Linked DNA regions of Lonchura striata. The protein of the gene in region 1 purifies or fractionates together with the protein of each later gene. This does not show direct contact. Links are inferred from orthologs where the notes say so. Each region holds a gene or a part of one and is shown on either strand. Other genes may lie near its edges.

The links.
Region 2: the proteins of ITCH (region 1) and MAVS purify together in Homo sapiens (affinity purification with western blotting; 3 studies listed by BioGRID). This does not show direct contact. The link is inferred for Lonchura striata from reciprocal best matches to the Homo sapiens genes ITCH and MAVS.

The regions. Positions count from the first base shown.
Region 1 is NC_134619.1:13,572,291-13,583,219, reverse strand, and holds the start of ITCH (E3 ubiquitin-protein ligase Itchy homolog), read left to right. Parts: upstream 1-6,751; 5' UTR 6,752-6,848; intron 6,849-10,929. UniProt on the Homo sapiens protein: Acts as an Acts as an E3 ubiquitin-protein ligase which accepts ubiquitin from an E2 ubiquitin-conjugating enzyme in the form of a thioester and then directly transfers the ubiquitin to targeted substrates.
Region 2 is NC_134606.1:3,103,549-3,113,651, forward strand, and holds the start of MAVS (mitochondrial antiviral-signaling protein), read left to right. Parts: upstream 1-5,392; 5' UTR 5,393-5,435; intron 5,436-5,994; 5' UTR 5,995-6,007; coding exon 6,008-6,124; intron 6,125-6,234; coding exon 6,235-6,415; intron 6,416-6,754; coding exon 6,755-6,972; intron 6,973-7,357; coding exon 7,358-7,931; intron 7,932-9,054; coding exon 9,055-9,209; intron 9,210-9,668; coding exon 9,669-10,103.

The DNA of each region.
Region 1 (10,929 bases):
CTTCTCAGCCTGGCAGAAGCAGGCATCCAACTCACACTGACACTGAGCATCTGCTCCCATTGTGTGCCCTCAATGCCTCATCCAGAGAGAAAAACTGTAACTAGGATCCAAGTGGTGCCTGTGGACACCCTGCAGATCTGCTGTGGTGTCTCCCACAGGCCCAGCTGACCCTGCTTGCAAGGCCCTTGTGGAGACAAGAGTTGGACAGAGCCACCAGTTAAGCACTACCTGGTGTGTCTTACTTTTCCCAGCACCAACATCTCATGTTTGCTTCTGAAAACCCTGCAGCACATTTACAGTGTTATGTTCTTCACTCACAGGGAAAAATAATCTTCAGTCTTTTGCATGGGTAAGATAGGTTCAATTATCCCAGTAGCTTCTCCTTCCTTTAAAACATCTGCATATCTTGGTTGTGTCATTTCCGTTCTCAAGACACCTAATCACTCCCTCCCACTTCTCTGATTATGCACTGTAGAGCAATTCAGTAATAAAACACTTAATTAAATAGCCACATTTCTTTTTTATACCCTTTAATTAGGTTACTTGGAAATAATAATAGTTTCTCACCAACCTGAAGGGTTCATTATTCCCCTCTGCAGATAACAGGAAGTAATCTATGTTTTCCTACTGCTATTTTTCTAAATCCTAAATCAAATTAATCAATTCTGATTTTAAAGTCAATTAGAAATAGATACACTCTGACACTTCACCATTATCTTCATGAGTGAAATGAATTCAGACTCTCCTTACAAGGCAGCTGAACAAAGTTTCTCCTTCTAGGGGTGACAATTTCAAGAAGTCAGATCTTAAAATACAAAGCACTTCCTGCAATAATTACCCAACTAACAAAATGCTCCAGAAGAATAACAAGATTGACATTATGGTACTTACAAAGTGCTTTTAACACCAGTACAGAAAAATGATGTGAAAACAAAGTACTCCTGCATTTATAAATCACCAGCTTTACACAGCCTTAAGTCAGACAGCAGCATTAAGCCATAGTTAAAAGACTGACAATTGCTTAGGCACTAATGGGTGCTGATGACACCTGATGACTGTTCCACAGTCATTGTGAGATACTTGCTTGGGGCTGTGTCTATCCCAAAAACAGGTAAACAAACATCCACACTAGCAAAACTGCCTCCATGGAGATATACTCATTCTGGTCTTCCCAGTAAAGGGACCAGCTTCATGTTGCCAAGTTAATCAGCAATAGGGACTGAGGTCCTACAGTAGGGTGGGAAAAACCCTTAGGAAATTCAGCAGACAAATAAAGGTGGTCAAAGGTAGTTCTGGTTCTAGGAGGGAGTAACTCAAATTCAGCAAGACATGGGGTTTGGTGGAAGAGGTGCTGTGCTCCCAGTAAGTTGAGTAGGACCCCAACTGAGCGGCCTGTGACAAAGAAGGACATTCAGAAGGGCTTGTCACCAAGAGTGCAGCCAGCAGGGTGAGGAACCTCACCTTTTACTCTGCAATGGTAAAAACTCACCTGTGGGTGCTGGGACCAGCCCAAGCTCCCTGGTGCCTGTCCTATATAGGTGCTGATGAACCAGAGGCCAGAGGAGACCACCAAGCTATCAGGCATGGAGCACAGGACACATGATGTGAAAAATGCCAATCACTTGTTTTAAAATTTTAAAGTTTAATAGTAATAAAATGGCTATAAAAATAATAAGAATTTGGACAATCAGAGTTAGGACAATAAAAACCAAAGAAATATGGACAATCCAGGTGCCTTCCTAGGGCAATTTAGCCCTGAAAGTACACATGCTAACAAAGGATTAACCCTTAAAAGCAGTAGCCTGTTGCATATTCATATATTCATACATGATGCATAAATTCTTTTCAAACAAAAGGTATTCTCTGATTATTATCAACTTCTTCCCCTTAATCCTGATGGCTCCTTAAAGCTTAAAGCAGAAGAGGAGGTGGAGGAATGTTTGTCTTTTCTGATAAGGAGGCAGTAACTCTTTAGGTGTCTTGTTGCTGTTATCTCTGTGCAAATAATTTCTTGATTATCTCATCCCTTTCTTGAGCTAGTTAAAAAAAAATCTTACATCACAAAGCTTCTATTTTAACATTATTTTATAACCTAAAACTATATCTACCGCACTATTTAAAAAAGGTTAACACAGTAATTAATACAACATAACACATATAGTATTCCTTTGCAATGAGCCAATCATATAATATGCACTTTTCACCCATGAGCAGCTGCTGAGAGAGCTGAATTTGTTCAGCCTGGAGAAGAGAAGGCAAAGGGATGCTTTACAGCTGCCTAAAACTGCCTGCTGGGAAGGTGTGAGGAGGATAAGCTATACTCTTTGCAGAGCTGTGAAATCACAAATATAAGGAAATAAAATGGACTAAGGGGCATCATACACTGGACTAGGGCACAAAGGGGCTGTGCGATCTCCAGCCTTGAAGGTATTTATCTCTGACCTATTCTGCATTATCTAAGTTGGTTCTGGTTCAAGCATGGGATGGATCTAGAGGCCTCCAAAGCTTCCTTCCTACCTGAATTATTTTGTATTTAAGTGATTCTGTCAGGATTTTTGTGTGCCTCACACAAAAACCAAACCAAACCAAAACAACAACAACAAAAACCCTCATACCACTTAACTAAAAAATCATTAAACATTTGTAAAGGAGCTAAGAAACCCAGCCCTGTTTCCAAGTTTGACAAGAGACTTGCTGTGCAACCCTTAGGAAAATATGTAACATTGGAAAGAAGAGGTTTGTCTTGTGTGAGGTCAATAGAGTTGGCTGAGTGGAAAACAAAGGGAATGAAGGTGGGGTCTGTTTTAGGAGAGGGAATCCTGTACTCTAGGGATAGGAGAATAATAAGAATGTTCAGTGCTTCTGTTACACAGCCTTGTCCCAGCCCTTTAGCTGAAGGAACCTAAGGCCCACAGGTATCAGAAAGCAATGTCCATTTAGACTTCTGCTCAAAAATCAAACAGAATCCCAATATTTTAATGATCTTGCATTTTTTATTTTTATTATTACACAAATTATTTTTATTATTACACAATTATTACACAATTTTATTTTTATTATTACACAAAAGGTTCAAACATGGAAATCATTTACACCACTCTGCCACACAGACCCTTATCCTCAGTGGCTTCCCAGTCAGCTCTCAGCACGAACAGCACTCAGTGAGTGTGGCAGTTCTCTTACAACAGGGTAAGTTTCCATTAGAGATGTGAATATTATTATTTACAATAGCCCAACAAAGAATAAACACTACACATATTTTGCCACAAGTACAAATCCCATTGACCAGTCTGGACTGGACTGAGAAATAAAAGAAAAATATTATGAAAATTATTAAATATTATTTCTCAGAAATTATCTCCCAGAAGCACAGCTTCACCATATCAAACCCAGCAAGTGTGGAAAGCTACTAAGCATTCAGTTTTCCTGACAAGCCTTTGCACAAGATCATCCTCCAGGAAGGTTCCCTATCTGTTGGGGTTTGTACTTGTCAAAAGAAAGCTATGACAGTAATAGCAAGAAAATTCCATCCTGCCTGAGTATCTTGTAGTTATAAAAAGCATAGGGGGAAAAAAGACAATAATGAAGCATTATACTCTTCTCCCCAAAGGTAAATCTTGGATACATAGTTTTTCTGCCACCCAATTATATTCATCTTCATTCACCACGTATTCTGTGGTAATTATTTATTTGGTCTTCCAGTTCACTGATTCACAGGCCATGATTTTTACTCAGGCAAATGATATCTGAAACAGTGTGAATGTGACAATTGCTCTGCATTCCTCTTGTCCTGGAAAGCACAAACTGATCAGTAGTCTGCATCTGGAATACAGTCTTTTTCTCATGAATTTTACAGAGCAGATGGAACAAATGGAACTTAACTGGGGGCATCAGAAGCTGGAAAACAAAGAGAGTAGGGCTGCCGAGGTTGAAAAAAAGAACTTTATCTGAAATGCCAGTTGGAAAAGGAGGGGGAAGATAGTAACTCAGAGGACAACTGATGTGATGTTCTTAAAAACAGACACTGAGTGTTATTCATACCTGCTTTAGCAACCTTCACCTACCAAAACCAAGTACAACAAAAAGAAACTGCAAATGGTCACACTGCCCTGGGGATGGGTACATGCACCCCTGCTGGATCCTACAGGGGCTACAGGGATGTGTCCTTGGGGCAGCATCCGGCTTCTTCCTGCAAACACTCAATTCTGCTAAAGGAAAAATTAACCCAGGCGGCTGGAGAGAAAGGTACAGTGCAATGGTCCCACCATTGGGAATCAAACCACAGGCAATCTGCAAAACCAGAGTTATGTGCCAGCTGGGAGACAACAAACCCACCACAAAGGATGCCCAGCTTTGGAACTCCAGCTGCAGTCAGCCAGAGTGTCACTGGCCAGGACAGGAACTGGATGAGAGACCACTGTTTATGTAGGTGATGCATGAGACAGAAATCTCTGTTAAGCAAGGCTTTTAGAACTCATTTTTATCATTATTAATTTGAACAGAACATTAACTATGGAACTTTAAATGTATGTCTACATGGTCAAATATCTCTAAAGGAACATAGAGACTTAAAGATGCATAGAAAAGGTTTAGAGAAAATACAAAAATCTAGTCCTTATTTCAGCTGATCAATTTGCTTATCATTATACTGGGCTGTAACCTTGGCTCCAAACTTGCTTCCCATGAATTCCCACCTCTGACAAAGCCGCAATGCTCCTGATTTTTCCATACTCAGCCTCTAGCTGAGCAGCACACATTGTTCTGTGCTGGAATTAAAGTGATTTCTGTGCCTGAAGTGATGTGCACATGTACCTTGGCCAGTCAGAACCATAGATGGCTGATTGGCATCAAAACACGTGTTGGTCTGTCAGGGAAACAGTTCGAGACGTTTTTGTGCTTAGGCCTTATCAACAGAAGCAGTCACTTAATTGTGGCTGTGAGATATTATTGGAGTTTATGTGTGGAAGACAAGATGGATTTTCACATCCTACCAGTTTTAAGAAAATGCTAAACTTTGCACTGGCAAAGTGCATAATTTTTCTGAAGAATTATTGAGGATATTCTCCTACTCTCTGAAGACTGGATATTCTTTCCTCTGATTTCAGAACATAGACTCTCTCATTCCTCACTGTCAAAAGAGGAAGTGTATTGTAATTTCTATGCATTCACTTATGCAATAGTGCGTTCAGGCTAAGAAAAAATACACTTGAAACAAGAAGGATTTTATGTAAGGCTAAATAATATCAATGGTTTAAGCACCTGAAGCAGACACTTTAAAATCACAAATGTTACTTTATTTTCAAAGGGCTTTGTTTTGTGTCCCAATGCCCACAGTGACAGCAGTGATGTCCCAGTTGCTTGACTGTTATAGACTCATGCTTGCAGGATGTCCCTTTGTGGTCTCAGAGATTTCCCATTACTGGTGTCACTGCAGAAACGTAGGGCCAGTGATGGCCATGGGTTCCTCAAGGTGTTCCTGTACCAGCCAAGCCCTCAGGGGTGCTTTGATTATCCAAGATTTTTACTGTAGTAAAATATACACACACATACATATACACTCTGTTTACGGAATCATAGATTCATGGAATGATTTGGGCGATCCTCCAGAAAGGATTCGGAACTGGAGGCACCGGATCTTCCACCCCTGCCATGGGCAGGGACACCTTCCACTGTCCAAGGCTGCTCCAAGCCCTGTCCAACAGTGCCTTGGACACTTCCAGCCACAGCTCCTCTGAGCACCCTGTGCCAGGACTTCAGCATCCTCACAGCGAAGAATTTCTTCTCAATATTCCATCTAAACCTGACCTTCGGCAGTGGGAAGCTGTTATGTGTAATAAATATAATTCGCACCATTCCTCGTATGAAATATGTAATATTGGATATTTGTTAAATCATGCCCGTTGTATTAGCTCCCCCCCGCCCCCCCTTTGCAGGCCAGACTGGGTGTATATTGGAAACTGATTTACCAGTAAAAGGATGTGGCTCGGCCAGGAGATGGGCCATGTCTGGGCTCCAGGTGTTGATCATCACTATCATCAGTGCTGATCGTCCAAGATGGATATCATGGAAATCCTCAGACAGATTCATGTGAATGCAGCCTTCCCGTAAACTCTCATCAAGAATTCAACTACTCTGGACATTGAATTATTTCTCCTCATCACCAAAAAAAAGAAAACCTATAGACTCTGAATAGAAGAAAAGACTAACTGCTCAAATCTTGGCCTCAGGTGGAATTTTCCCTATAAAAACCGCCTGTGCCAGGATGGAAGTGTGTGGGCATAGGGGAAAACCTCTGCTGAGGCTGACTCCTTGTTGCACATCCAGGGTCGATCCCGGGCTCGGCTCTGTCCTTTCCGTGTGGCTGACTAAATAGAATTTGACCGCAAATAAAATGATTTTTATTTTTAATCTGGCTGAATAAATTCTCATTTATAACAGAAGCCATTGTCCCTTGTCCTGTCACTCCCCTTATTCAAAATCCCTCTCCAGCTCCCTCGAAGCCCCTTCCGGCACTCAGAAGGCGCTCTGAGTTTTCCCTGGAGCTTTCTCTTCCCCGGATGAACACCTCCAGCCCTCCCAGGCTGGCTCCAGAGGATATGGAATTCTACTCGTCGCCGTGAATTTCACGGCCTCTCATTGTCCCTCACGGTCCCTGCCGGTCACTCCCTGTGGCCCGCGCCGAGCATGCGCAATGCATGGCGCAGGGCACGGTGGGAGTTGTAGTCCTTGCGCAGCAGCCGGGGGACTCGGCGCCTGCGCACATCGCGCCCGACTTTGCTAAGTCGCTGCCGGAGGCCGGGCGGGCCGCGCTGCCATCTTGGACCTGAGGGACGGGGGAGCCGCGGCCGGTGAGCGGAGCGGGGCCGGGAGGTGGAGGCACGGGGGTAGCGCTGGTGACGGGACGCGGCGGGGAGACACGGGGGACGCGGGGACACCGCGGTCGGGCCCGGATCCGGAGGGGCCGCTCGGCCCGGGAGGGGCTCGCTGAGGGCGGACCCGCCGCTCTGTGCCCGGGCCCCGCGGGGCAGCGCCCGGCGCGGGGCGGCGCAGCGCCCTGCCGGGACCCCCGCGCTGTCTGCCCCACCGCCCGGCCGCGGCTGCCGGGGGCACCTGCCCGCACCCCGGTGCCTCCAGTTCCGAATCCTTTCCGGAGGCTCGCTCCGTTCAGGGCTGTGCTTTCCGCAGCTCTTCCAGCACAGCCTCCTTCCCCGGTGTGCGTCCCCCCTGTCGCGGGGCTTCTTCCAGGTGTCCGGGCGTTCCGTGTCTTTATCTCGGCCGGGTAAGCCGGACATTGGAGGAATGTGTCCTGGCGATAAAGCGTGACTACAGCCAGAGGTTTATCCCGAACTGTGTTCCCTCTTGTAAACACGGCAGAATGGCAACGTTAGTGCCACCGCTCTATTTTGGAAACGCGGACAAGTTCTGGCTGTTAACTCTTCCGCTGCCACGCCGGTTATCTTTGACCTTGTGTGCCAATGCTGTCGAGATAAAAGCAGACAAAGGTGTTCGAGGATGGATTTCTCTAATTTGCTCTAATATTAGAGAATTCAGCTTGTTTTAATTGCTATAATTTGTGATGTTAAATTGTCAGAAGACCTTCTGATCTGTGTGTGATGCAGAGAAAGGGGCAGGTGTAGCTTTTGGGATACCTGTGTTGTGGCAGCCTTATCCCTTGATGCTTCAGGAAATATCCCTGGCAAAACTTACCTTTATAGCCTAGTTAGAATTGAAGAAGTCAGAAACCGGGATATTTTAGACTGTCTTTTCCCAATATATGGCTGCTTATTGCCATGAGTTTCTCAATGTTTTGTTTAGTCTCTGTTACCCTGCCTGTCAACCTTTCCAAAGAGAAGTGGAGAGACATTTGGACTGGTATTTGAAAGAAGGCATTCTCTGCTGAGGGAGTGACAGTAGATTCAGCAATTGCTTGTATTTACCTGAGAAAAGGCACAGGTGTTTAAGAATGAAACATGAATCACAGGCCATCTAAGGTTCATCTTTTAATGCTTAAAAATGTATTGTTGGAAAAAACAGTAAATTCTTTCCTGTTTTCTTGAAGTGAAAGTCCAAAGCAGTTGTAATTTAATTACAATTACCTTGCTATTCACTACAGCTGTTTAAGTCTGGACTGTGACTAGTGTGCATTCTTAGTTGTGATTTAGGTGGCATTTAATCACTATACTGAATCCATTCACCTCCAAATGATCTTTGGAATAATATGTAGCATTCAGACCCAAAGTGAGTTTTCTTGTCTTTGAAACAACAACAGTAGATGTGAAAGATAATTTTGGAATGGAAAATAACTGAGACTTCTGAGTGCTAACTTTAAAAGCTTCTTACAGATTAAAGTTATTTTGGGGCTTAAGAGAAATTGAGAGGAGATTATTTATATTAATTTATTAATTAAGCAGCATCACCTCTTTTTCTTCCATCAGTTTTCTCTCCCTTCTTAAAGTTATATTTCTTGTGTTGTGACACAGACCTGAAACATGAATTACCTTATTTCTTTGTTTTAAAGTTTCAAAATGGTTTGGGGAAAACTACAGCATAAGGTAATAGGAAGAAAGGCAGTAAAGTAGCATAGTGTTTGTCTTGAGGAGATTAAATTTATAATTTTTTTTTAAGAGAGCTTGTCATAGACTGCTTGAAAAATGTTTCATGAGAGATTTACAAAGTAATTTCCTTCTATTTTACAACATGTGAAAGAGATGCTTGGCAGCAGCATTATCAGTATCAGTCAATTATAGTGTCTAAATAAACATATTTTGTGAGTTTAAGCTGTTTAAACAAAGTGATAAATATATTCAGCCATAGTGAAGTACTTTTCAAGCAGTAAAACCAATTTGATTTCTTCTTAAAAGCAAGGAAAAGAGTCTGCAGGGTGAGAGTAACAGAAAAAGCCCTTGCACATGGAAACAATTAAGCTTCTGGGAGTTTATTTTTAAGCTTTTCTCTTTGGGTGTCCGCTTATGTTTGTGTAATGTTCTAGTTTTTATCATTCTACTGTACTTACATGTAATTGCAGGAACTTCTTTGTGCCCTCACAGCTGAGGAAAGTGAAGGTGTGTGCATAACCCAGAGGAGTGTTGGCCACAGCTCCTTACTGTAACTGTACTTTGCCCAGCTGCAGAAGCATTTTGAAGTGAGTGCTTTCCTCAGAAGAGGACGTAGACAAGTCATGATTATAGTCTAGCTTGGGAGTATTCTGGAAATTTAGTTTTACTGTCTCATAACTTGAGTATTTTTAAAGACTGTAGGCAGTCCTTCTTTGGCTTGGTTGTACTGTTAGCTGAGCTAAATCTGTGTGCACATTTTGGTGAGAGTCTTCTCTCTGAAGACTAAAGCAACAGAGACTTGGTCAATTAGAGTCTCTAAGTTGATGACATTTAGGTTACACTGTAGTGCAGAGTTGCTGGAGCTGAAGGATTGATAATTTTTCTTCATGAGAATTGCAAATTACACATAATAGAAATGAAAGTATTGCAGCAAACTGGAAAAGAGTGTTTTGAAGAAGCCAAGGCCCTGTTTCAAAAGACCAGCTCTCAAGTTATGCCTGGAATTTCTGCTTTTACTATACCAAAGCACAGCAGGGTTTTTTTCTCCCCTCTGAGGAAACATGATACCACATCTTGTTGTGCTGGTTATTCAAATAGTTTTTCAAACTTGGCAGCACGTTGCTGTTATTAAAAAAAAGTTTTATTTTACTCCTCCTGTTTAGGAACGGATAGTTTCTGCCTTCCACCCACCCGCCTGAGCTATTCTCAACTCTGCTGCTGGGAGAGGCCTATTGTTTCAGTCAGGCACAGAACTCCTGTCATGTTTGTATTTACATCATTGGTTCTGAAGCTGGAGCTCAGACTCAAATGGTGTTGTTGCTCAGCAAGAAAAGTCTCTTCAGGTGGATTGTTCCAATTTGATTGTGTGGAACTTTGTTTCTAATCAGGAAGTGGAAATTAGGTGACCTTTACCTGAAATGTGCAGGTCTCGGGTTCTAGATTTGGTAGCCCATGATACAGAAGCTGGAGCTTTCAAGAGGAGTGTGTTGCTATCAGCCAGTATAAAATTTTCATGTTCTCAGTTTTCCATTTTTTTATAGGTCAATTTTTCTTTCAGTGGTAGCCTTTACTCATATTTTTCCTTCTAAGTATTAGCTGGGTACCTAGTAATCTTTTTGAAGTTTATTACTAAGGAAAAGAAAGATCAGGTAAAAGATTAAAGTGATATTGAAACAGAAAAAGACAGGTCTGCAATCTGCTTCTGATTTATTAAGTAATTAATCAAATAGCCATTTGCAGCAAAATATCCATCATGAATATAAAACTTGTGACTGGAAGCATGTTAATTTTTAGAAAAATAAAATAGGCTCTTTGATACCTTCAGTTTCATGTGATTAGTATGGAACTTTTGCCTGAGCAAGTCATTCATAACTTACTACCCTTTTTAGCTTTGCCTCATTCAATGGAAAAAGTGAAGGAAGGCTCAATGTTGGGCAAGCTGAAGAGATGGACTGAGACACAGAAGAGTGGGTTGTGTTTATTTTTAACATGCTTTTGGTCAGTATCCATGCTTAGTGCCTCCCCAGTCACCAGTGCTAGCTAATGTTTAATTATGTATTAATAATCACTAGTCTTGCTTAACAGTTAGAATGCTCAACTATCCAGATTTTTATTTTATTCACTGCTGTCTTCATAAACATTTGAATGTATTAAGACTTGTTGTTCTGAACACTCCTCTTCTACTTTTCTGATACCCTGAGGTTTTTGCTCTGTCAGTGCTGCTCTTTTCATTTATTTGCAGAACAGATAGATGGAGCAAGTTTGTTCTGTATAAGGATTCCTCATCTTTAAAGTTGTTTTTTTTTTTAATTTGGCTTGTCAGAGCCTGAATTAAGTGATCTGTGGATCACTCTAATTTCTCTTAATAAGGCTT
Region 2 (10,103 bases), on another chromosome or scaffold:
GAGGTCGCACAGCCTCTGGATTGGGATCCACCACCCTGCTGGAAACACAGAGGCTTGGAGCAGAACAGATGTAGGCTGGCAGCAGGAGGAGACAGGGAGAGGGAGAATTCAAGCTGCTCCTCCACGGGGATATTGATGTTGGACATGGAGCAGTGTCACGGAGCAGCACAGAGATGCAGTTATTAGTGAGGGATGTTTCAAGAAGGCAGGGCTGTGTCTCCTTAGTCTGGGAACAACACAGCAGCACCAGCAGCCTGGAAATGGGAAATATCTATTCCAGCACCCCCCAGGATCCTCCACTGCTTTCACAGAATCCCAGAGTCATTTAGGTTGGAAAAGACTTCCAAGATCATCACCTCACAAGTCCAAGCTGTGACCAATCCCCACCTTGCCACCAGAGCAGAGCACTGAGTGCCACATTCCTTCAACACCTCCAGGGACGATGACTCCACCACCTTCAGCCAGCTGTAACCAACCAGTTGCTTTAACCAACTGCTTTAATAAAGATCAGGCAAAAACCCTGGAGCTTCCCACAGGCACTCCCCCAAGAAACTCTCCAACAGGGATGAAAAGAAACACATGGAATGAGAAGGTGGCAGTGCCCACTTTCTGCCCAGCACAAAAACTGAGTCTCTGTCTCCCCAGCACCCCCAGGGCCTAGGGGAGCTGTGGTCCCTGTTCCCCAAAAAGCATCCTGGCTCTTCACCCAGCCACAGCAGAAGCCATCAGAGAGCTGGCAGTGCCATGATCATCCCTGTGATCCCATTTCTCCCCCCAGAGCTCCACACCAAGCCTGTTTCCCAATTTCTCTGGCAATAACAGCGTGAGTTTGCATCTGATGCTTGACAGACACAGACAAATCCTCTCTGCAAACCTGGCTGCAGCCCCCACCCCTGAGCACATCCTTCCCCTCCCTGCCACTGGCTGCTGCAGCAACAGGAATTAAAATAAAGATGAAAAACTCCTGTTGGGGCCGCAGTTTTATTTCCTGTCGTTTCTAGAACTCCTTGTACAGGAGGAAGAAATCCTTAAATATTTCCAAGCATCCTGCATGCTCACAGCAAGCTCCCCCCAGCCACGAGCAGGCAGAGAAGGGATGACTAATTTTTTTTTAGCATAAGACGCTGGGAGAGCGTCCTGTGAACAAGCTCAGTAAATTCCTGAGGCTCCCGGCAAGGACTCCACCACTCCTTGCGAAACTTCCCAGCTGGAACCGAAAAGGCAGAAACCATCGTTTTCTCTCCCTCGACAAACAGAGTTTGGGATTCCTTTCGCGACAGTATTTGGATTTTTAATGTCAGTCCATATTTAGCAGGAGAGGAAAAAAAGCCTCCCTTCCTTCCTGTCACATTTTCCACCCTCGATGACATCCAAGATCAGAAACAAGCAAGTGCTGGCCGAGGAGGGAGGATGCAGCTAGCCGAGCGTGGGAGAGCTTGGAGAGGGGCAGCACTGACATTCCCGTTTGGGATTCCCGTTTGGGATGCGAGGAGGGGACACACCCTTTGAGGAGCAGAAAGAGCCAGGGAGAAGGGGACAGAGCTCTGAAGGAAGGACAGAACCCTCAGACCCCACAGCAAAGATGGTGTCCCTTCCAGTGCTACAGCCTGGAGCATCTCTGAGAGGGATGGCCCAGGGGGCAGCCAGGACACAAGCCCCCAAGCTGGAATATCGGTCCCAAAAGAAGCTTTTGGCCACTGGCATGGCCTGGATTTGCCAAGGGGGACATGGTCTGACCGTGGGTCAGGAGTAGAAGCCCCAGAGTCCTGAGTGGAGGTGTCCAGGGAGCCTGGCCATCCTGCAGCAGGGTGGTGGTGGGTGGTGGCAGGAGATGGTGGCCATGGTGGCCCTGCCCTGCAGATGTTTTTTGGGTCTTGGATGGGTGTCCTCAGCTTGGACTTCCGTACCCAACCCCGTGGGTCACTGCAGACCCACAGGTGCAAGTTCACAGAATCATGGAATGGTTTGGGTGGGAAGGGACCTTAAAGCTCATCTTGTTCCATCCCCTGCCGCGGGCAGGGACACCTTCCACTAGCTCAGGTTGCTCAGAGCCCCATCCAACCTGGCATTAAACACTTCCAGGGATCCAGTGGCAGCCACAGCTTCTCTGAGCAACCTGTGCCAGGGCCTCACCACTTGCCTAGGGAAGAATTTCTTCCTAATATCTAATCTAACCATACTCTCTTTCAGTGTGCAGCTATTCCCTCTTATCCTGTCACCCCAGACTCTTGTAAAAAGTCTCTCTCCATTTTTCTTGCGGGCTCCCTTCGACTACTGAGAGGCCCCCATTAGGTGTCCCCGGACCCCTCTCTCCTCCAGGCTGGACAATCCCAATTCTCCCAGCCTTTCCTCGCCGGAGAGGTGCTGCATCCCTCCCATCAACTTGGTGGCCTCGTCTGGACTCGCTCCAAGGCAGCAAACCCAAGAGCCCCAGCCCGCGATCACTCGTAGAAATCACCATTCTCCCTGCCAGATACACCCCCAAAAATACAGACGCTAACCCCCCACTTCAGCGTGGGCAGGGTGGGGGCGACCCACCTCCACGGACGCGCGTGGGTCGCGCCCCCCGCCCCTTCCGCCACCCCCGGGCCCCCACAACAACCCGGTGCGCCCCCCCGGCGCTCCCCGCGACCCCGTCCCCGCTCACCTGCGCCCGCCGCTCCCTCGCCGCCTCCCGCCCGAACGGCTCCGCTGCGAGGCCGCCTCGGCCGCCCGTCACCATGGACGGCGCCGCGCGGGGAGGGCGCGGGGTGGGGGGGGCCGGGGGAGAAGGGGAGGGGGATATGAGGGAAGGGGAAGGGGTGCGGGAAGCCCCCGCCGCCCCTCGGGGCTCTCCCGGCGCTCAGCGGCGCCGCCGCCGCCGCCCGCCCGCTGCCGCCGCCATCGCGCGGCTCCGGGCCGGGGGCGTGGCCGGGGCGTGGCCATGGGCGTGGCCAGGCGGGCCCCGGGCGCGGGGTGGTGCCGCCCCCTGGTGGCGCGGAGGCGGCGCTGCGCCTTCGCCCCCGCTCCTCCGCTCTTCAGCTCCCGATTCCGCTTCCCAAAATTCCGGAGTGGGAAATTAATTAACTATTGACTGTTCATTAGGGAATTAATGACAAAGGAAAAGCTTTGGTGGGATACTACGGGAATGACGGAGAGAGACTCTTAGGAAGGAGGTGCGGAGACAGAACAAGGAGTAACGTGTACGAGTTGAAACAGGAGGAATTTATATTATTTATATTGGATATTATTATATCCACTAATATTGCTGTGACCGCGGCGAGAACAGGAACAGGTTGCCCAGAGAATTTGTGGTTGCCCCAAGGCTGCAAATTTTTAAACCCAGGTGGGATAAGGCCTTGAGCAACCTGGTCTAATGGGGGTTGTCTGTACCCATGGCACTCAGCTTGGGATGATTAAAGTCACTTCCAAACCTTTAACATTCTGCGATTCTATGATTATGATTGTACCATTCTGCGATTCTATGATTATGATTGTACAATTCTGCAACTCTGTGAACACGAATTACTGAGTGGCTTTTTTTTCATGTGGTAAATTTTATCATTATACTGATCTCTTCTTAATTATAGAAACAACCCAGAAATATGATCGATTTTTATGACTTAGAATGAGAAAAGCTGGATTCAATTAATTATAATCACAGAATGGTTTGGGTGGGAAGGGACCTTAAAGACCATCTCGTTCCACACCCTACCATGGGCCGGGACAACTTTCCGCTATCCCAGGTTGCTCCAAGCCCCATCACCTGTGGCCTTGGACACTTCCAGGGATGAGGATTTTCTGGATAAACTGTGCCACTGCTCACATGAAGGACCATATTCCAGCTCCCAGAATCACAGAAAACTGAGGTTCAAAGGGACGTCTGGAGATCATCCAGTCCAACCCCCTGTCAAGGCAGTGTCACCTGGAGCAGGTGACACAGGAATGTGTCCAGGTGGGTTTGGAAGGTCTCCAGAGAGGGAGACTCCATGGCCTGCCCGGGCAGTTATTCCAGTGCTCTGCTACCCAAAACATAAAGAAGTTCTTTGTCACATTGAGGTGAAGCTACCTGGGGCTCTGCCCCCAGGTAACAAACAACAGGATGAAGGGAAAATTGTTTCATGGAAGGTTTAGATTGGATTGTAGGGAAAATTTCTTTTTGGAAGGGGTTTTCAAGCACTGGAAAAAGCTGTCCAGGCCAGTGATGGTCAGCATCCCTGGAGAGATTTAGAAGCCATTTGGATGTGGCATTTGGGGATATGTGTTAATAATGGCCTTGGCAGTGCTGGGGGAATGGTTAGAATGGAATGGAATGGAATGGAATGGAATGGAATGGAATGGAATGGAATGGAATGGAATAGAATAGAATAGAATAGAATAGAATAGAATAGAATAGAATAGAATAGAATAGAATAGAATGGAAGAGAATGGAATCATCCATCTTCATTTTAATTTTGTTTTGTCAGTGGAGCAGCTTTGGGGTGTGAAACTTCTCCCGTTCCCCTAGTTTTCAGACATCTTTGTATTATTCCTTGTCCAGTCGCTGGGCATCACGGGAAAGAGTCTGGCACCATCCTGTGACCTTTGCTTGGAGATGTTTTTATGGATTGGTGAGATGGCTTTGGAGTCTCCTCTTCTCCGGACTCAGCAGGCCCTGCTGCCACAGTGTCCCCTGGCAGAGGGGGACAGTGTCCCCAGGCTGGCCACGCTCCGGGATCTCCGCTCCCGCTGTCCCGAGGGACTGGGAACCTGTCCATGCTCCTGTTGTGGGTTTGGGGTCCCAAATTGGGCAACTCCCTGGAGCAGTTCTGTGTCAGCAAAAGCAGACACACAGGACTTTTTCCGTCTTCATCTTCTGTTTATTGTTACCTGATCAAAACTTCAGCACGCTGTCTGCACCAGACCTTGCATGCTGGAAAACAGCACAAAAATGGCCAACAACCTCGTCTAATCAAAAGCTGCCCAATTAAGAAGTGACACCTAAATTATTTTCCTTTCTAACCCAATAACTGACCCCTAAAGACCCGCAATGTGGATTTTTCTACCCCATTACAAGATACCACCTAAACCCAAGAAGGAAGAGGAAGAAGAGAGGAGAGGAATTCGAGACAACACCCTATATCCTCCATCTTGAACCCATCTATAACACACTAAAAATCCTAACACCTAAATTCCTCACCCATGTGACATACTAAATTACCCTCTACAATCTACTTCACACTTTGGTGGTTTCTAGTTTACCTTGAGGCTTTGGAAGTTTTCTCCACGAATGAGGGTCACAGTCAGAGCTCCCCTGGGGGTCAGAACCCCTCAGGGCAGACAAGGGCAGTCCCCTGACGTGTCCCCACGCCCTGTCAATCACGGTGACGGGCGTGCGCCGCAGCCAATCAGCGGCGGCCGCGACGCGAGGGGGCGGGGCCGTGGCGGCGGCGGGCGCGCGGCGGCGGCGGGCGCAGGTGAGGGGCCCTGAGGGGCCGTGAGGGCGGCGGGGGGGGATGGCGGGACCGCACCGGCCCCCACGGCCGCCACAGCCCCGGCAGCCACCCCCGGCCGCCCTGACAGGGGGATCTGCGAGCGGAGAACCTCCCGGAGATCCCCCGGGGGTTGAAGGTCGCGCTGAGGGCGGCGGGGCCCTCCTGGTGTGGGCGCGCCTGCGGGCCGCTGTTCCCTGTGGAAGGAGCTCTGTGCCTTCCCCTTTGGTTTTTACATTGCTTATGCGGGATTCCAGCCATGGCCCCTGGCGCTTGTCTTGGCCGTGTCGCCTGTTTTTCCTTTGTCGTGACGCCCAACCCGCCGGGTGAATCCAAACAAGCAGAGTGGGAATAAACACGGCGTTTATGGTGGGAAGGAGCGAGGTGTGTGTGGAAGTGAAGCTGAGCGTTGAACTTAAAGCCGAGCGAACTTTGTGCGCGTGGTTTCCGACAGGATTTCCCGTCTCATCATGGCAGTGTTTGTGCCAGGGCACTGAGGCTCGCCAGCAGCCTCTGCTCACCCGAGGTCTCTGTCCCCCTGCAGGTGCTGAGCCACGATGGGTTTGGCTGAGGACAAAGTGTACACCCACATTACGAGAAACCTCAAGAAATTCAGCACTATCCGAGTGGCGTCGCTGGCCGATTCCCTGACCTGCCTGGTCGATTCTGACAGAGTAATTTCCTATTTTCCTGAGCTCTGCCAGGCTCCTTCCCCCATGGCAGCATAGAGTTATCTTACCTCTAAGCCAGACCCTCTCTTAGATACCCTGTGTGTTTTTCCTAGGATGAACTCCTTGCCCGGGAGGAGATGCGGGGCAACCAGGCAGCTGTCTTTAGATTCTATCAGCACTTGAGGTGCCGGAAGGGCTGGGTGCAGGATCTCATCCAGGCACTTCACCAGAATAACGCAGGGCACTTGGCTGATGAGCTGCAGGAAGTCTATGATACCTGGCAACCTCGACCTCGTATGTAGCCTCATCCTTCCTGGGTGTGCCCCGTGGGCTGCTGGAGGTGGGGACATGACATCTCTGTCCCTGCTTCAGCTTCCGAGGGTGCTGGAGGTGTGTGTGACTGTCCCAGGGATGTCCTTCACTGTGTGACATGTCTGAGGATGATTTGAAGGTGCTTGGGTTGGTGGTGGGCTGGGGTTCTCACCTGAGGGAAGATGGAAAGATAACAAAGGGGTGCTGTGGGCTTGGCTGATGTGGGGACAGAGCATGGACACACACACAGGGCTGCCTCAGCCCCGCACTTATCCTCTGCTTCCTCAGTTTTTTCCACAATGATCTGCCTGTCTCTTCCAGGTTCCTCAGCTCCTGCTGCTGCCTCCTCCCTTCCCAGTGATGCCCGTCCCACTGCCTCCTCCATCAGTGCCCAGACACCATCCCAGGGGCCAAATCCTGCCCCTTCGGCTGGGCGGCTACGCCCAGACCTGACCACTGGTGACCATCCACCTGTCCTTCCCAGTGCTGGCACCACCACAAGTACGGAGCTGGAGGCCAGAATGCCGGTGCAGGAATCGGTGAGCAGGGCACATGTTGGATGGGGACACCAAGATCCCTTTGAGACCTTTTCATTGGGTTTTGGGAACCTGTGGTAGGGCCAGGCTCCTTTAGGGCCACCCCGAGCAGCTGCTTGCTGCTGATCTCTGCTGCATCTGGTAATTTACTGCTGATATATGGCCCTGTAACTGCTCCCTCTCATGTCTCCCTCCATGGGAGCAGTGCAGGCTCTGCTTTGCCACCAATCCAGGCTTCTCTCCACAACCCCAGACCCTTGGGTGGGTCCCAAAGAGAGACCCCAGACCCCATTCATAACCAGCCTTGCAGGGGTCACTGCTCAGGCTTTAGAACACCGCTGTGAACCCCCTCAATCCCAGTGATTTAACACAACCCATTTCCTTCCAGCTCCCCAAAAAACTCCCGGAGCAAGAGAATCCCCGGCCGGTTCCACCTGAGAGCAAAGTCCACAGCGGAGTGAGCGGCGGGCACAGTGGAGAGGGGAATCTCTCGCACCCCTCCGGGACCGTGCCGGTGTCAGAGGGGACATCAGGGGTGGCCGTGCCACCGGCCGTGTCCCCAGAGCAGGGCCGGGACTGGCTGAGCCGCCGGCCGGTGTGTGTGGACAACGGATTTTTTGGGAATGCAAACCACCTGCACCGCGGCACGCCGGGCCTGGCCCTGGGCAGGTCTGTTCCATCGAGGGATGCAGGTGCCACTCAGAGCCCTGGGCAGGCCAGGAATGAGCCCGAAGAGAGCTCGGATATCTTCACAGAGTCACCACCAAGGCTGGAGGGAGCCACTCGTGGTGTGGGGCAGCAGCCCCCAAACTCGGTGCCAAAAAAGCAGCCTGTGCCAAGCTCTGGGCATGGTGAGCCCACGGGCAGCTTCGTGGATGTGCGCAGCCCCCTCCTCATACAGGAGCAGTTTGATGTGGAGAAGAAGCGGGTTGGGATGCTGCAAGAACACCCAGGGAGTGGAGGTGGGTTTCCCTCCTGGCAGAACCTGGCAGCCACTAGGGAGCAGGAGGTGCTGCTGAGAGCCCCTCACTGCAAGAAACTGGGATGCTGGAACACATCCAGAGATGGGAATGGGACTGGGAGGGCTCTAGAGCATAAGTCTGATGAGGAGCAGCTCTGAGAGCTCATTCTGGAGAAAAGGAGGTTCGGGGGAGACCTTCTCACTCTCTACAACTCCCTGAAAGGAGGGTGGAGAGCAGCTCTGAGAGCTCATTCTGGAGAAAAGGAGGTTCGGGGGAGACCTTCTCACTCTCTACAACTCCCTGAAAGGAGGGTGGAGCAGGGTGGGGATTGGGCTCTGCTCCCAGCTAACAATCAACAGGATGAAAGGAAAATTGTTTTGCGGGAGGTTTAGATTGGATAGTAGGGAAAATTTCTTTTTGAAGAGGTTGTCAAGCACTGGAAAAAACCGTCCAGGCCAGTGATGGTCAGCATCCCTGGAGAGATTCAGAAGACATTTGGATGTGGCATTTGGGGATATGGGTTAATGATGGCTTTGGCAGTGCTGGGGAAATGGTTAGAATAGAAATTGAATAGAATATTTAATTTGGAAGGAACCCAGAACAATCATTTCATCCATCTGCATTTTAATTTTGTTTTGTCAGTAGAGCAGCTTTAGGGTGTTAAACTTCTCCCCTTCCCCTAGTTTTCAGAGCTCTTTGTATCCTGAATGTGGGGGAATTTTAGCATCTCCTACCTGTGGGCATCATAGAATCAGGATAAAGCCCTGACCTCCACTCCAGGGTCTTGGAGTGGGGAAAAAAGACATCCAGCCCTCCCAGCCCTTTCCCCTCTGCCATGTGGGGTCAGCACCTCCTGGCTGGGTGGCCATGGAGTTTCAGGAGCCTTAAAAGCCTCTGATTGCCTTGGTGCTCTCCAGCCCTGCAGCCCACCCTGCATGAGTTACCTGCAGCTGCAGGGAAAGCTCAGGTGCCGCAGCAGAGCCAGAGTCAGGGCACTGGGTCCTGCTCCCTGTGCCACCCCCTCAGCTTGGGGACTGTCCTGTCGCAGTTTGCCCGAGGAAGAGCAAATCTCACCTTTTAGGCCCCCTGGTTAACACAAAATGCTTTATTTTCTCCCTGACAGGTGCTTCAATGGAAAGAACTACCCTGGGTGCTACCCCTGTGCCCAGAGACACTTTCCCATCCCGTGACACCTCGGTGAAGTCTCTTACGCAAGAGAAGAAGCTGCCCATTGGGAATGCAGCCAGCAGCACCCCCTCTGTGCCAACGAAGGAGAAAGTAAGTGACCTTTTCTCTTGCCACTTGGATTTCGTTCATGTCCTTGTGCACTCCCTGTGATTAGGAGACTTTCTGTTGCAGTGTCACACTGTGAGCTGGTGATGAGTTTATTCCAGGATTTTTTTTCCCCTCTGCTGTGTTCACATTACCATCCACACGCTGTATGGTGGAGCATGGGAGAAGAGAGCTAAACTCTGTTGGGCTTTGACTCCTTATTTCCCCACCTTACCTTGCCAGTCAGTTTTCTTGCTTCCAGGTGCTGTTTTCCACTGCTCTCCTCATTGCTTGGCTCCCCTTCCTTCCTGCATGCCTCTCTCCTTCACCTCCCTGTTACCTGTGACCCAACGTTAGTGCAGATGTGGGACTGTGTTGAAGTGGGTTTGTGTGGGACCTGTGTGCCCAAAACCAGGCCATTGGATGCTTCCTTTGACACCCAGCCCCTCTCCTTGTTTCCTAAAGGTGCTCCCGGCCTCAGCAAACCCTGTCCTGGGCACAGCTGTGGTAGGCAGTTCCGAAGGCATGGCTGGGAGATCAGCTTCCCGGGGGAGCTCTGCCACGAGCATCTGGGCACCTCACAGTGATGAGGAGAGGGAAGAGGAGCTCAACAAGCCAGGCGTCCTCATGTCCATGCCTCGGGGCAGCCCAGAGGTGGCTGGCAAATGCCCGAGCTCTCAGGAGCCCGGCAACCCCTGTTCCACCCTCTCCGGTAGCCTTGGCTTCAGCAGTGACCCAATCCTGGTGAGCAGGGATAGCCTGAGCTCAGGAGCAGCGTTCCACAGAGCCTCCTCAGTTCCTGCAGGCCCCAGAGAAAAGGAGGCATCTGGAGCAAGCAGAGACTCCTGTCCTGCTCCAAGCTGGGGCAGCACCTCCCTGGGCACCCACGAGGTCTGTGTG